3 linked regions of the Callithrix jacchus genome follow. Each later gene encodes a partner of the first gene's protein in a complex. Links are inferred from orthologs where the notes say so. Each region holds a gene or a part of one and is shown in the gene's direction. Other genes may lie near its edges.

Region 1 (4,945 bases):
TCACTAGGGCAAAGTGACCAAGAAAAAGCATTTCAGCATCATTGGCAGCCTGCTCTGGAGGGCCGGGAGCACAGGAGCTTTTGTTGAAGGGACTTTTTTCTGATTCTGGTGAATTCTTTCCGTGGGGCCGTAGGGTCCCAGCCTAGATAGGGTGGCTTTAAGGTGAGAAATTGTGAAGGTGCTGTATCTGCCAATCCTTTTCTTGTCAGCCTAAACTTTGGGTGTGGACTTACTCCCTGAGAGGGTCAGAGATTCCTCCCTGAGCTCCTAAACCATCCCAGATCTTGTGAAAATCTGGCTGGTCCATATCATCAGCTGAGAGTGGGGTCTGGCTGCCCATGTGGGCTGGGCCCTGACCCGCCCTCTGTCGTGTGCTTCATGGAGCTGCCAGGATGGGCTGTAGGAAGAGGGTTTCAGCTTGTTCCTTGATCATTCTCTTTCATGATGGGTATGATACTGACACAGCAGCACACATGTGCTGTTTGTAAGTCAGTGTGTGCAGGTATTGCAAGGCTGTTCATGCCTTTTTAGGGAAGACAGGCTATGTGACTGCACAGCGGGATGTCCTCTGTGGCACAGTGCAGAAAATCCTGGACAAGTGAAGGATGTCTGGAAGCTTCCCCAGCTGTCCATCCTGCGGCACTGCGGGTTGTCTGTGTGTCTTGTGTTGTTTCTGTTTCGTGACCATTTGCTTCATTTTCTTTCCTTTTTCAGAAATGGCTCAGGGAACTGTTGGAGGTGTGTTCATCACGACAGCAGGTTCCACATCTAACGGCACGAGGTTCTCCGCCAGGTGACAGCGGTTGAGGGTGTGGGAGAAGCATTGTCTGGGCCTCCTGTGGGGCCCAGGGGCCAAGGCAGGGTGGACGTCTCAGATGTGGCCATCAGGTCTGAGGCTGCTCCGACGTGCTTGTCTTCCCAGGCAGTGGCCCCACCGGCTTTCCCTGTGTGGAGAGCTGCTTTTCCTAGTTGGTTTCTCCTCACTAAAAACTAAAAGTAATACGTGGTGGTTGTTTTTTTTTTTGTTAAAGTATCACCTAAAAAGTAAGTAGGAATGAAAACCACCCAAATCCTTCTGTCCCGGGCAGCCCAAATAACAGCAAGTATTTCTAGTTTTTTTCTCCTATTTTTCAGAACACGTCTGCGGTCACAGTGCATTTGTATTTCAGAACGCATTTGTAGTCATGGCGCATGTATTTTTCAGAACGCATCTGTAATCACAGCACACATATTTTTCAGAACGCATCTGCAGTTACAGTCCACGTATTTTTCAGAGCAGTCACAGTGCACATATTTTTCAGAATGCATCTGTGGTCACAGCGCACGTATTTTCCGAACATGTTTGTGGTCACAGTGCATGTATTTTTCAGAATACGTTTGTGGTCACAGTGCACTTTCTTTTCAGAACACATCTGTGGTCAGAACGCACATGTTTTCTTCCATGCATTTTCACCTTACATTTTATTGTATTTATATATATTATTTCTGTGCTATTAAAGGGCCTTTATTTAAATAAATTCGTATTTAATCTTTGACCTGCCATCCCATAGGGTAGAATGATGTCCCTAGGTATTTATCTTGGTGCTTCAAAGAGAAATATAGCTTTTACAACAGATATTAACAAAACAAAGATTTTATTGACTTTTATATTGCATTGTGATACAATATGTAGTATTACTTTATATTAATCCTAAGTGTTCATAAAATCTTTAATTGGAAATCTAAGAACTTAGTAACCTGTGGGTCCAGATAACAGGGCACGACGTAGTGAGTTGCAGTGCGCATGAGCCTGTGTTGGAATGTGCTGTGGCCGTGAGATGTGACAAGTGTGTCAGGGGTGCATGTAGCTTCCTGGCCAGCTCTGGGGTTACAAAGCCAGTCTCTTCCAGTCTTGGCCTCACCTGTAAGGTGAGACTGGTGATGAGTCGTTGATCTGTGGCAAGGATCAGTGAAGTGGTGATAGAAGAAGGGACTTGTCACAGTGCCTGGTAACAAGGTTTTGACCGAGGCCGGTTCTCTTTCTCTTCAGCTGTGTGTGAATGTGTAGGGGTCAGTCTGTAAACATGTTTAACACTGGTTCTTCCATGAGGTGAAATGTGGGTGTTTTTAGGACTTTCATCATCAGATAATCCTTTTCATGGATGTGATTCTCAGACTTGTCAGTTTTTCATAACAATGGAAACAAAGCTACTACCATTTCTTATGAAATACCAATTTTCAAAGTGGCATGATGGGACATTTTATGAAAGTACCTCATGAAAGGACATCTAGGCAGTTCCCAGTTATCAGGAAAACTACAGTGAGCAGCTTTGCGGCTGAATTTCTCACCATTTCTGACGTGTTTCTAAGATACAGAATCACTTCATCAAAGGCATATTGACTCATTTTCATTGTAGTTAATAAATACTATTAAAATATATTAAAATATATGCATATATTTTTATGCAGTTGGAAAACATTTTTAAATCTTGGAACATTGTGAGCTGTGATTAGTGGTAGGTTTTTGTGGTGCTGCAAACCCTCTGGGTTCCCAGTCCATGCTGCTAGATTCTAGCCGTGCTCTGGACTACATCCTGTCCTGCCCCAGGCTCTCTTTTTTTCCTGTTGCTGGTTATGAGTGAAAGTCCTGGAGGGAGGGATCTAACAGTTTTTCAGTTCATTGCCTCTGGGCACTGCTCCTGATGGAATGATGAGTGAGGGAGAGGGAGCTTGTGGCTCTGCTCAGCCTCCTATTTCTGGCATTGTGGATTCCAGGAGACAGGGTCCGAGGAGAACCAGACGGGGATGGAGTGAGTGCCAGAGTGCTGGCGTGCTGTAGTGCAGACACTCATGACCTCCCAGTTCTGTGTGTGTGACTGACAAAACTGACACCTGTTCGGCGCAGCCTGTCCTTCAGCCGCAGGCCCTGAGGTGAGGGGAGGCCGAGTGGACTGCTCTGCACTGACTGCCTCATCCGCCTCCTGCCTTGCAGTGACCTGACCAACGGTGCAGATGGGATGCTGGCCACAAGCTCCAACGGGTCTCAGTACAGTGGCTCCAGGGTGGAGACCCCAGTGTCCTACGTCGGGGAGGATGACGAGGATGACGATGACTTCAATGAGAATGACGAGGATGACTGACGTCCTCCCCACTTCAAATTCAGCTTCAGGAAAACGTTTAGGGAAAAGAAACTTTTTTTTTTAATGTGGGTTTTCTGTTTCCTTTTGGCCTACTCCCAAGAAGATATTGGTAAGCTATTGAATTTAGATATGCACCTCTGATAAGCAAGGGTTGTTTACCGTAGGATTAGGACGTGCTGTGGATGTGTGTTTTGATACCAGTGTGCTGATGCAGAGCGTTTATTTACTTTTTAGGATTTTGTGTTTTCATTTTTCTGGTTTTCTCTAAGTGCAGAGTTCAGTTTCGCCCCTGAACAGTTTTTGCTGAGTCTGCTGAAGAAATTATATTTCATCCACATCCATGAAAATAAAACACCCTCCTGTGGTGGATGGTGAGCACCTGGTGCCATTTATTTGCCGTGAGTCTGGACGGCACCCCCGCTGGTGGATAGCAGGACTCTGTGGATTGTTCCATTTGGTCAGTGGTACTGTGTCCAGAGCCCCAAGCAAACAGCAGAATTCGACTTTCTAAACAATAAACTTCATCAACCTTATTGACTTTATTTTCCCTTAAATTATATTGACTGTTGTGATTCCATCAAGCTTATCAACTCTTTTCTCTCCCTATTTGCAGCAACAAATTGCAAAGTGCTTTTGTTTGTTTGGTTAGGGCTTATTGCCACGCTGGTGCGGCTATGGAGACTGTCTGGAAGGCTTGGAATGGTTTATTGCTTATGGTAAAATTTGCCTGATTTCTTACAGGCAGCATTTGGAAACCTTTTATTATATAGTTGTTTACATACTTATAAGTCTATCATTTAAAAACATGTACTGAAACAAATGTTGTATTTGTTTCATAAGCATCTTCCTGTAATCTATTATAAAATTGAAATTAAATATAGAGAATGTTTTAACAATTTTTTAACTCAAAATTTGTCAATCATTTTTAATAGTTCTTTTTTTATAAAAAGGAAAAGGAATTTAAGGACAGGCAGTAGTCTCTTTTAAAGTTTATTCACAAAACCCATTAACTGCACAGTTGCTGTTAGCTGCCTGTTCTGAAATGATAGTCTTTTTATTGAAACACAAATAAACTTTTCTGTAATATTTTATGGAATATAAAGAGACTTTAATTGTTTGACTTGTTTAACTTGGCACTGTTAGTTTTTATTAATAAAACGCGCATGGGCATTTTGAACAAGCTGTGTTTCTCTAATTCAGGATTATTGTCTAGAAATTTGTCTGTCTTGTTGGTCTTACTTTATACTTGAGTGAGAAAGTAGGTTGTTATTAGGCCCAGACACAGTGCGTCCTGGTGGTCCCTGTGGGCACACCCCCCGACCAAATTTTGGTCAGAAGCACATCTTCCGGGAGCCCACCCTGAAGATGGAGAGTGGCCAAGGGTGGAGGTCTTGGATATAAGGAAAGGAGGAGGCACCTTTTTTGGTGCCTGTGGTGCAGAGAAAGATAAGCCAAGTTCCTTGGCTTTTTTTCACGATGAAAATTGAGACTTAAAAATGTAAAAGTTTGACTTCCAGAACAAGAATAAGATTGGGAGGCTTCTGGGAAGATGGTGGAATAAGGAAGCCAGGAATCTGACGTCTACTCCCAGGCAGGATCTGCTGGATGCAGCTGTTCTGTAACTACGGAATCTACCAAAGGCTTAAAGCTTACAAGGGAGCATATGGCAGTTAATTTTGGTCAATTTCAGCTTTCTACCCTACCCCTGTTCCTTCATTTTTCTCCTTCTCCTTCTGGGAGCCAGACATTGAAGACTAGGACGTACAAAAATAGCTGTGCCTATGGGGCTGCCCAGGGAGAGGCTCAGAAACGGCCTGAGAAGACCT
Region 2 (4,815 bases), on another chromosome or scaffold:
ACAAAATTAATTTGCAAAACTTGTTAACAATGTGTCCCACGTCAAATCACACAGATGTAACCTTTTTCAGATATGTTGTTTGAAAGTGGTTGTATCAGCTGAATTTTTCATGTTTTACTTCAGATTTTCAATGTTGTTTTGTTTATAGAGTTCTTTGATTAAAGTAAAGGATATAATGAATAAGTTATTAACGAAGGTTATAAATAAAGGCCTGTGCCTATGATGTGTTATAAACGGTGCATTTAGCTTTACTAGTTAATGCTGCTGTTGTATTTGACCTCACTTCAGAGACCCTTTTTTGTTAGTTTATTGTTATTTAAAATTAAACAAAATCTTTCTTGCATGAAATTTTCTTGATTAATTACTGCCATAAGGAATTTTCATTTACCTAATTTTTTTTTTTTTTTTTTGATACAGAGTCTCACTTTGTCACCCAGACTGGAGTACAGTGGCAGATCTTGGCTCACTGAAACCTCCACTCCCGGGTTCAAGTGATTCTCCTGCCTCAGTCTCCGGAGTAGCTGGGACTATGGGCGGGCACCACCAAGCCCAGTTAATTTTTGTATTTTTAGTAAAAATGGGATTTCACTATGTTGGCCAGGCTGGTCTCAAACTCCTGACCTCAAATGATCTGCCTGCCTTGGCCTCCCAAAGTGCTGGGATTACAGACGTAAGCCACTGCGCCTGGTTTCATTCACCTAATCTTTATTGTCTACTATATTCAAAGTGTTGAATGTGACACAAGTCATTTAAAATTTAATGTGAATTCTCAAGAGTTTGTAATATAATGAGGAAAAAACCCCAACAACTTTCTTTTACTCAGATCTGCACGATGTCATTTGCCATCAATGGTTTGGAATATCACTGAAGACCAAGGGCCTCTGACTGCCCAATATTCCAAATACAATACAATTTGGTTCAATAAGATATTAAGAACTTTGGTCAAGCACAGGAGATCTGGGATCTAGCGGCATGTCTTTGGCAATTCACAACCTCTCCCTCTACACTTGTTTCTCCATGTGGAAAGTAAAGGTCTTGGAAAGGATTGACGAAAACCAGCCCTGAAACTCCACGATGCCTTTTCGCGTACAAATATTTGCAAACAATGCTAGAGCTCGAAAAGAGCAAGAAAGCAGAAACCGTCCAGCAAAAGTAAGTAACCGACCGCTGATCTCCTGCAGCTCTGCAAACTGAGCAGCCAACCAACTTCACGACTCAGAAACGTTTGGCCTCCGGGCATTGTGACTTTCTGCCCAGGTAAAGTCTTTTTTCTTTTGTCTCCGTTTTTTTCTTCCTCCTTGCTTTGCCGTGTGGGATCACCATTCCTCGGGGCAGCTCGTGAACGCCCGGGAGGCGAGTGTGAAACACTCGCACCGACGCCCCTCCTCCTCCTCGTGCTCTCCTCCTTCCTACAGAAAAATGCGTTTCTAGGTAACGGCGGGCGGCGCGTCACTTCCTGCCATTTAAACTCAGGTCCCCACCCCTCTCAGCCCTTCTCGCTTCCACCCCCTCCCCTCTTGGTCTTGGGCCTCATTCACGCTTCCCTGGGCTTGGGGAGGGGGCGGAGGCCTGGAGTGACAAGCGGCCCCGGCTCCCGTGGGTGCCGTACACCTGTTGTTTGCAGCAGCCTGCGACCAGCACTGCCGCTCTCGGAGGGCCGGGAAGCAGCAGCGGCGGAGCCGACCCGGCAGGTGGCCGCGGGCGGGGCAGGCGAGCAAAAGTGCGCGGGGGCCCGACCACCGCGGGGCCGGGAAGCGATGGCGGCGGCGGAGCCCGCGAGCTCCGGCCAGCAGGCACCGCCAGGGCAGGGGCAGGACCAGCGGCCGCAGCCGCAGCCTCCGCAGGCGCAAGCTCCCCAGCCGCCGTCGCATCAGCAGCTTGGGGGCGTTGGGGGCGGCAGCAGCAGGCACGAGAAGAGCCTGGGGCTGCTCACCACCAAGTTCGTGTCGCTGTTGCAGGAGGCCAAGGACGGCGTTCTGGATCTCAAAGCGGTGAGCTCGGGAGGCGGGGACGGGGGCGGACTTCGGAACCCGTGGCCCCCGGGGAAGCCCAGCCCCTCGCGGCGTGGGTCTGGCGGCGTGGTTTGGACGCGCCCTGCGGGGATCCGGGACCGAGCGATCCGAGGACCATGTGGCCTGCGCCCGGGTCCTGGACGCCGGGATGGGGGAGGGACGAGGGACCAGGATGGCCCCGAGCGGACGCGTAACCAATGGGGCCCGGCGCCACGCTGGACTCTCGACAAAGAGCCCTGCACCTCGAGCGCGCCCGCGTGGCTTCTGTCTCCGGGCGCAGGGACCTGAGGGCAAACGAGTGTCTGTTGCTCCGCGTCCACCTGTGGCAGAGGCTCAGGGAGTAACGGGCGCTTTGCCCGGAGACACTGTGAAAATCGATTTTGCTGTTAAGAACTGATGGTTTTAATAGGCGATTCCAGTTGGATCCATGTTCCTTTAGTTTAAATAAAAAGGAGGAGAAACAGAACCCAGTCTGCCATCTCTACCGGATGAAAGGGGGAAAAATTACTTCTTTCCATGACCCTCCCCGATAAAATAATGATGCTAATAAAAAAATTTCCTTGTGTACTTCTTTTCAACACCCTGAAAGTTAGGAAGGGTGTTTGATTTGTGACTTCATTTGGCATGTGTCATGAGTTTTCCAAATGTGAGATCTGCTATCACAAGAAAAGGGGGTATTTTACAACTTTTCACTCAAAGAGGAGGAAGTGCTCAGTAAACTCTCTCCCCGCCTCATCCTTTACTGCGTTCAGATTTTTCAAACAGGAACAAGCATCAAAAGCTGTTCTGTCATACAGAATGACAACTGATCTAGGCAGAATTTGGAAGAATTCAACATCGCTCAGAATGAAGAGAATGTGATCACTCTGTGCGCCAAGTTTAAGAGCCAAAGTTTTAGAAACAAACAAAAAATTCTAACTTGCAGTAATCACTGCAAGCCCCCTTTGCTTCCTAAATGTGGTATTACTTGGAGGATTGACCTCAGCATCCGGGGAGTGCCTAGACCACCTTACCTGGCTTCAGAGTGTCACTGCATCCTCCAGGCTCTGCATAAAGCAATGGCACCTCCCTGAATGTAAGGGCCAGCTCTCCCTGTCTTCTGCTAAGGGCCCTCCTTTAGTGTAGCCCAAGGGGAAGTAGATCTTTCAGTGCCTTCTGCTTTCCCTGGATGTAGTTGGTGTTCAGTCAGTGATTGTTGAATTGAATTATCTAAATTGTTAACTTCTTGCAAGTGAGGCATGCTGTATATATTTTGTATTTTGGTAAGTAATTTCTCCTGTTTTCTTTTTGAGATGTTATTCCTGGAATTTTTTCCCACCTCTGGAAGTTCCTTGATCTCTTTTCCACCACAGGCCCTTCTTCCTTTCTCTCCCTGAAAGTGATTTATGGCATATATAGTATTTAAATTTTAGTGAATTAAAATGGACTCTGTTTAAAGAATTTCAGAAAGTCATGAAGTTGTCAGAGAAAGCCAGAGATGTTACAAAGCACAGGTTGCAAACTGCTGTTCAAAATCTAGAAATTCAACTGTACCTTTAACTTTAGTGTAAGAAAATCAGGGAAGTTTGGGGTTTTCCAGATAAAACTGAACTCTGATGGCCAGATTTTGAGGGCTTCTCCCTCAACTTGCCTCAGGGTATGGTGGAACTTTGCCCTTTCTTGACTTGAAATTCTTTAGCTTCCTCCTGTTTCATCTGTGGCCATATAATTGCCCTACAGAAGTCACAGAGGCAGTGAGTAGGATGTACAGTTTGGTATTTCATAACAATAATTGCTTAATTCATTCTGGAACTCTCCTGAAAATTCAAAGGCTTCTACAATAACACTAAGTTTCATTATATTATGACTTTATACTCCTAGAAAGGAGTTTGAATGTTATTAGTTTTCATATATATGAAAAACATATACATTTTATGTATTTTACATATATTATTTACATATATAATCTAATATATGTAAACTTTTACATTGAAATCTTTCCAATGATATTTCTTATTGTATATCATTGTAAAAGATCATTAAGACTTTTATTTTTTGAGACCAAGTCTCACTCTGTAGCCCAAGCTGGAGTGCAGTGGTGTGATCTCTGCTCACTGCAACCTCAGCCTTCCAGGTTCAAGCAGTTCTGTCTCAGCCTCCAAAGTAGCTGGGATTTTAGGTGCCCGCCACCACGCCTGGCTAATTTTTGTATTTTTAGGAGAGATGAGGTTTCACCATATTGGCCAGGCTATTCTCAAACTCCCAACATCAAATGATCTGCCTGCCTCAGGCTCCTAAAGTGCTGGGATTACAGGTGTGAGCCACTGTACCTGGCTCATTAAGACATTTTTGATAATACATATTAAAGATGGACTCACACTAACAATTATAATTTTCCTCTAATTTGAAATTATAAACACACATTTTCTTTTTCTTATATTCTTACTTTGGTGGGGGCATATTTCAGCATAATTTTTTTGAAACTTTTATAGACGACTTTTTAAAAGCAGTTGAAGAAACCATATATATATATATATATATATATATATATATATATATATATATGGTTTTTTGGTTGATTTTGTTTGTTTGTTTTTTTGAGACAGGGTCTCATTCTGTCACCCAGGCTGGAGTGCAGTGGCACAGTCTCAGCTCACTGCAACCTCCGCTTCCCAGGCGCAAACAATTCTGCCTCAGCATCCCAAGTAGCTGGGACTATAGATGTGCATCATTACACCTGACTTATTTTTATATTTTTAGTAGAGACAGGGTTTTGCCATGTTGCCCATGCTGGTCTTGAATTCCTGAGCTCAAAGCTATCTGC
Region 3 (4,941 bases), on another chromosome or scaffold:
CCGCTCAGAGAACCTTTCGTCCCTCTTCAGATGATAGCTTCATTTAAAGATGAGGCCTTCCATCTCTCTAGATTTTTGCCCTTTCGGGCTGAGGATAGGGATCTGAGTGGTGGTTGGGGCGCCTACCACAGGGACTGTGTTCCTCAGGCCCCACTTTCCCAGGGCAGCGCCAGTGTCCAGGAAGAATTTGCTGTTCAGGCACCTATCAGACCCTGCTCTGATTTTTTTTTCTTCGTTTTTTTTTTTTTGAGGCAGGGTCTCACTCTGCAGCCCAGGTTAGAGTGTAGTGGTACAATCAATAATAGCTAACTGCAGCCTCAACCCTCCCGGGTTCAAGTGATCTTCCCACCTCAGCCAGCTGGGACTATAGGCTGGGTAGCTGGGATTATGGGCACATGCCACCACAACTGGCTACTTGTTTTATTTTATTTATTTATTTTGAGACGGAGTTTCGCTGGGAAACTCGCAGCGAAAAGTGCTGGGATTATAGGCGTGAGCCACCGCGCCCGGCCTAATTTTTGTATTTTTAGTAGAGATGGGGTTATAATCCCAGCACTTTGGGAAGCCGAGACGGGTGGATCACGAGGTCAAAAGATCGAAACCATCCTGGTCAACAAGGTGAAACCCCGTCTGTACTAAAAATACAAAAACTAGCTGGGCATGGTGGTTGCGCGCCTGTAGTCCCAGCTACTCTGGAGGCTGAGGCAGGAGAATTGCTTGAACCCAGGAGGCGGAAGTTGCGGTGAGCCGAGATAGCGCCATTGCACTCCAGTGTGGGTAACAACAGCGAAACTCCGTCTCAAAAAAAAAAAAAAAGTATATTATCTCACAGAAATGTCCCAGCTATCTGAGATGCTGACCGTATCAAACAGCACTGGAGGCTGGGCATGGTGGCTCACCGAGGCCAAGAGTTCGAGACCAGCCTGACCAACATAGTGAAACACCATCTCTACTAAAAATACAAAAATTAGACTCTCAAAAATAAAAAAAATAAATAGCATTGGAGCACCAGAGAGTGTACATGCAGACACCCTTCTCATCTTTGAAAAGAGTATTTGTGAGCTTCTGCTAGAAGCCAGGCCTTGTTTGTGCTGGATGCTGGAGAAGCGAAGATGGTTTCTGTCACGAGCAGTCTGGGGGCAGTTGTTTTTAAAGTCAGCTTCCTTCTGTTACTAGTATCTTCTGGATTTTTGCCTTTTATATGGCAATGGTGGTGGACCCATGAACTGGGTCAGGAATGAATTCCAGAGCCTTCTGTGACTGATGTATTGCTGGCAGTCGACACCATTTCTTCCTTTTTTCCCCCCCTTATTTATTTATTTATTTTATTTTTAAAAAACCGCTCCCTGTCCCCCATCTCTTCCTTTTCTATTCCTGAAAATTTTTTCTTTTGAAACCGGGTCTTGCCTGGCCTAAAAAATTTAATTAGTATTTCTTATCGACTACTAGGCAGCTGCTTTGCACATTTTTTTTCATTCATTTGTGGCGTATTTAGTCACTGGGCAAACATTTCTTAAGGCTTTTGGTGATAAGCCCTGGGATGCGGAGGTGGAGCTGACCTTTGTAGACTGTGTAGAGATAGGCAGTTGCAGTGTAAGGACCTGAGGCAGGAAGTTTTTCCATGTGCTGTGGAAATGTAGGAGTGACTCTAGGAAGGAATGGTGAGCTGTGGAGAACAAGGAGAAGGTAATGTGGATAGCACAGTAAGTCGCCTTTCATTTGGTCATGAGACCTAGACTTGCCTTGTTTGGAACCTGTAAGCTTCTTCCAGTTTACAAATGCATGACCTAGCAACTCAGCAGACCAAGATGATCTGATGCAGTTTCTGTTGTTGAGTTGGGGAAAGGTTACTAACTTTCCTCATGTGCCTGACATCTCTGGACGTGGATTGTGTGATTTCCATTTTTGTAACTATTACACTGGGTAAATACAAGGGCTTTTTGGAGCAACTTGGAAAATTCCCTTGTACAAGAAAAACACCCAGCCTTCAAAGCAGCTTGTACTTTTTTTTTTTTTTCCTCTGCAGCCATGTTAGAATATACTGTACACTGATTTTTCTTTCTTTTTTTTTTTTTTGTGAGACGGAGTTTAGCTCTTGTTACCCAGGCTGGAGTGCAATGGCGCGATCTCAGCTCACCGCAACCTCCGCCTCCTGGGTTCAGGCAATTCTCCTGCCTCAGCCTCCTGAGTAGCTGGGATTACAGGCACGCACCACCATGCCCAGCTAATTTTTGTATTTTTAGTAGAGACGAGGTTTCACCATGTTGACCAGGATGGTCTCGATGTCTTGACCTTGTGATCCACCTGCCTCGGCCTCCCAAAGTGCTGGGATTACAGGCTTGAGCCACCGTGCCCGGCCTCTTTCTTTTTTTTTTTTTTTTTTGAGACAGAGTCTTGCACTGTCTCCTGAGCTGGAATGCAATGGCGCCATCTCAGCTCACTGCAACCTCCATCTCCCGGGTTCAAGTGATTCTCCTCCCACAGCCTCCCAAGCTGCTGGGATTATAGGCGCCTGTATTTTTTTTTTTTTAAATCATGTATGACACCTGCTATTGAGGATAGGCGCCTGTATTTTTAGTAGAGACGGGGCTCAGTGTGTTGGCCAGGCTGGTCTCGAACTCCTGACCTCATGCTCTCTCCTCAGCCTCCCAAAGTGCTGAGATTACAGGTGTGAGCCACTGTGCCTGGCCAGTACACTGATTTTTCTTTCCATTAATTATGCCTGTGTGTAGGCAAGGATTGAAAAGGGATTTGCAAAAGAGAGAAGCGATTTGCAAAAATGGACATAAGCTGGATATGGTGGTGCACACCTGTAATCCCAGTTGCTTGGGAGGCTGAGGCAGGAGGATCACTTGAGCCCAGGAGTTCAAGATGAGTCTGGGCAACATAGCGAGACTGTCATTACAAAATAAAAGAAAAAGGGGCCGGGCGCGGTGGCTCACGCCTGTAATCCCAGCGCTTTGGGAGGCCGAGGCGGGGGTGGATCACGAGGTCGAGAGATTGAGACCATCCTGGTCAACATGGTGAAACCCTGTCTCTACTAAAAATACAAAAAATTAGCTGGGCATGGTGGTGCGTGCCTGTAATCCCAGCTACTCAGGAGGCTGAGGCGGGAGAATTGCCTGAACCCAGGAGGCGGAGGTTGCGGTGAGCCGAGATCGTGCCATTGCACTCCATCCAGCCTGGGTAAGAAGAGCGAAACTCCGTCTCAAGAAAAAGAAAAAAATCCAAGCACAAGCAACAACTTGGCCAGTTACGGTGGCTTAGGCTTGTAATGCCAGCACTTTGGAAGGCCAAGGTGGGAGGATTGCTTGAGCCTAGGAGTTGGAGTCTGCAGTGAGCTATGATTATGCCACTGCATTCCAGTCTGGGTAACAGATCCATTCTGTCTCAAGAAAAACAACAAATGGGCATAGTTACCGCTCAATTGTTGTTGTTTTTTTAGTTACTCCCGAGGTGGGAGAGTTCGAGATCACTCTGGGCCCCATGTCTGCATAAAAAATACAAACAATTAGCTGGATGTGGTGGCATGCCCCTGTAGTCCCAGCTACTTGGGAGGCTGAAGTGGGAGGATTATTTGAGTCCAGGAGTTAAGGCTGTGATCATGCCATACTGATCTCCAGCCCAGTGACATCCTTAACCTTTTGGCCTGCTTTCTCCATAGCGAGGAGTTGGATGAGCTGCACTACCAGGACACAGATTCAGATGTGCCAGAGCAGAGGGATAGCAAGTGCAAGGTCAAATGGACCCACGAGGAGGTGAGTGCCATGGGGAGGAGATGGCTGATGGTAGCTGGGGCTGGCCAGAGGAGCTGAGCCTGGAGTGTCTTCCTGATGTCCTGTCAGAGGGGATGAAGAGGAGGAGCCAGTGAAAGGATAGGTCCTCTGGGGGACTTAATTCTGAGGACTCGGTGGATGGGAAGGGGATGTGTGTCTCAGACCTTAGGGCCCATTGTGTCTCCTCAGCAGCTGGGATGTTCTGTTTCATGGACGTTGATTATGCTTCTTGCCATTTGACTGCTAGGAGGTTTGGCCAAGCCTGTAATTTCCCGCTTTCTTCTTTTTTTTTGTCGGGGGGTGAGATGGAGTTTTGCTCTTGTCACCCAGGCTAAAGTGCAATGATAAGACCTCCTTGGGTCACTGTATCCTCCGCCTCCCGGGTTCAAGCAGTTTTCCTGTCTCAGTCTCCCAGTAGCTGGGATTATAGGCATGAGCCACCACACCTGGCTAATTTTTGTAATTTTAGTAGAGTCGGGGTTTCACCATGTTGACCAGCTTTGGCCTCCTACAGTGTTGGGATTACAGGCGTGAACCACTGCCCCCAGCCAACTCTCCCTTTCTTTTTCTAAAAAACTATTGAACCTTGTAACATGAAGCCTGACTTGGTTTTCTTCTAGCTCCATCTTTTTGTTCTTTTTTTTGAGACGGAGTTTCGCTGTTGTTCCCTAGGCTGGAGTGCAGTGGCGCGATCCTGGCTCACCGCAACCTCCGCCTCCTGGGTTCAAGCAATTCTCCTGCCTCAGCCTCCTAAGTAGCTGGGATTACAGGCACATGCCACCATGCCCAGCTAATTTTTTGTATTTTTAGTAGAGACGGGGTTTCACCATGTTGGCCAGGATGATCTCGATTTCCTGACTTCCTGATCTGCCCGCCTGTGCCTCCCAAAGTGCTGGGAAAACAGGTGTGAGCCACCACGTCTGGTCTTTATTTTTAACCCACAGTTAACATCATAAATGTCTTTAATTTTAGGCTTGGTTGTTTTTGTTTGTATTGTATTGTTTATATTGGTTTCTTTTCTTTTTCTTTTTCTTTTTTATTTTTCTTTTTTTTTTGAGATGGAGTTTCGCTCTTGTTATCCAGGCTGGAGTGCAATGGCACGATCTCGGCTCACCGCAACCTCCGCCTCCTGGGTTCAGGCAATTCTCCTGTCTCAGCCTCGCGA

The links.
Region 2: the proteins of TFDP1 (region 1) and E2F5 are in contact, whole or in part, in a crystal structure (PDB 5TUV), measured with the Homo sapiens proteins. The link is inferred for Callithrix jacchus from reciprocal best matches to the Homo sapiens genes TFDP1 and E2F5. Residues at the interface, in NP_009042.1 of Homo sapiens: Glu201, Cys202, Leu205, Glu208, Arg209, Arg212, Leu213, Arg215, Ile216, Lys219, Gln220, Leu223, Leu226, Ile227, Gln230, Phe233, Leu236, Val237, Arg239, Asn240, Arg241, Arg249, Pro253, Ser255, Val256, Ile257, His258, Leu259, Pro260, Phe261; in NP_001942.2 of Homo sapiens: Val126, Arg129, Leu130, Lys134, Glu136, Ile137, Leu140, Glu141, Glu144, Leu147, Asp148, Gln150, Lys151, Leu154, Gln155, Ser157, Ile158, Val161, Met162, Ile166, Asn167, Asn168, Arg169, Phe170, Ser171, Tyr172, Val173, Thr174, His175, Asp177.
Region 3: TFDP1 (region 1) and MYBL2 share a complex: the UniProt entries of both Homo sapiens proteins name them as parts of the DREAM complex. The link is inferred for Callithrix jacchus from reciprocal best matches to the Homo sapiens genes TFDP1 and MYBL2.

The regions. Positions count from the first base shown.
Region 1 is NC_133502.1:29,107,955-29,112,899, forward strand, and holds the end of TFDP1 (transcription factor Dp-1), read left to right. Parts: intron 1-714; coding exon 715-793; intron 794-2,971; coding exon 2,972-3,119; 3' UTR 3,120-4,299; downstream 4,300-4,945. UniProt on the Homo sapiens protein: Can stimulate E2F-dependent transcription.
Region 2 is NC_133517.1:41,656,184-41,660,998, reverse strand, and holds the start of E2F5 (transcription factor E2F5), read left to right. Parts: upstream 1-1,458; 5' UTR 1,459-1,757; coding exon 1,758-1,991; intron 1,992-4,815.
Region 3 is NC_133506.1:39,047,789-39,052,729, forward strand, and holds the start of MYBL2 (myb-related protein B), read left to right. Parts: upstream 1-1,584; 5' UTR 1,585-1,621; coding exon 1,622-1,686; exon of another isoform or gene 1,687-1,689; coding exon of another isoform or gene 1,690-1,703; intron 1,704-3,664; coding exon 3,665-3,758; intron 3,759-4,941. UniProt on the Homo sapiens protein: Transcription factor involved in the regulation of cell survival, proliferation, and differentiation. Transactivates the expression of the CLU gene.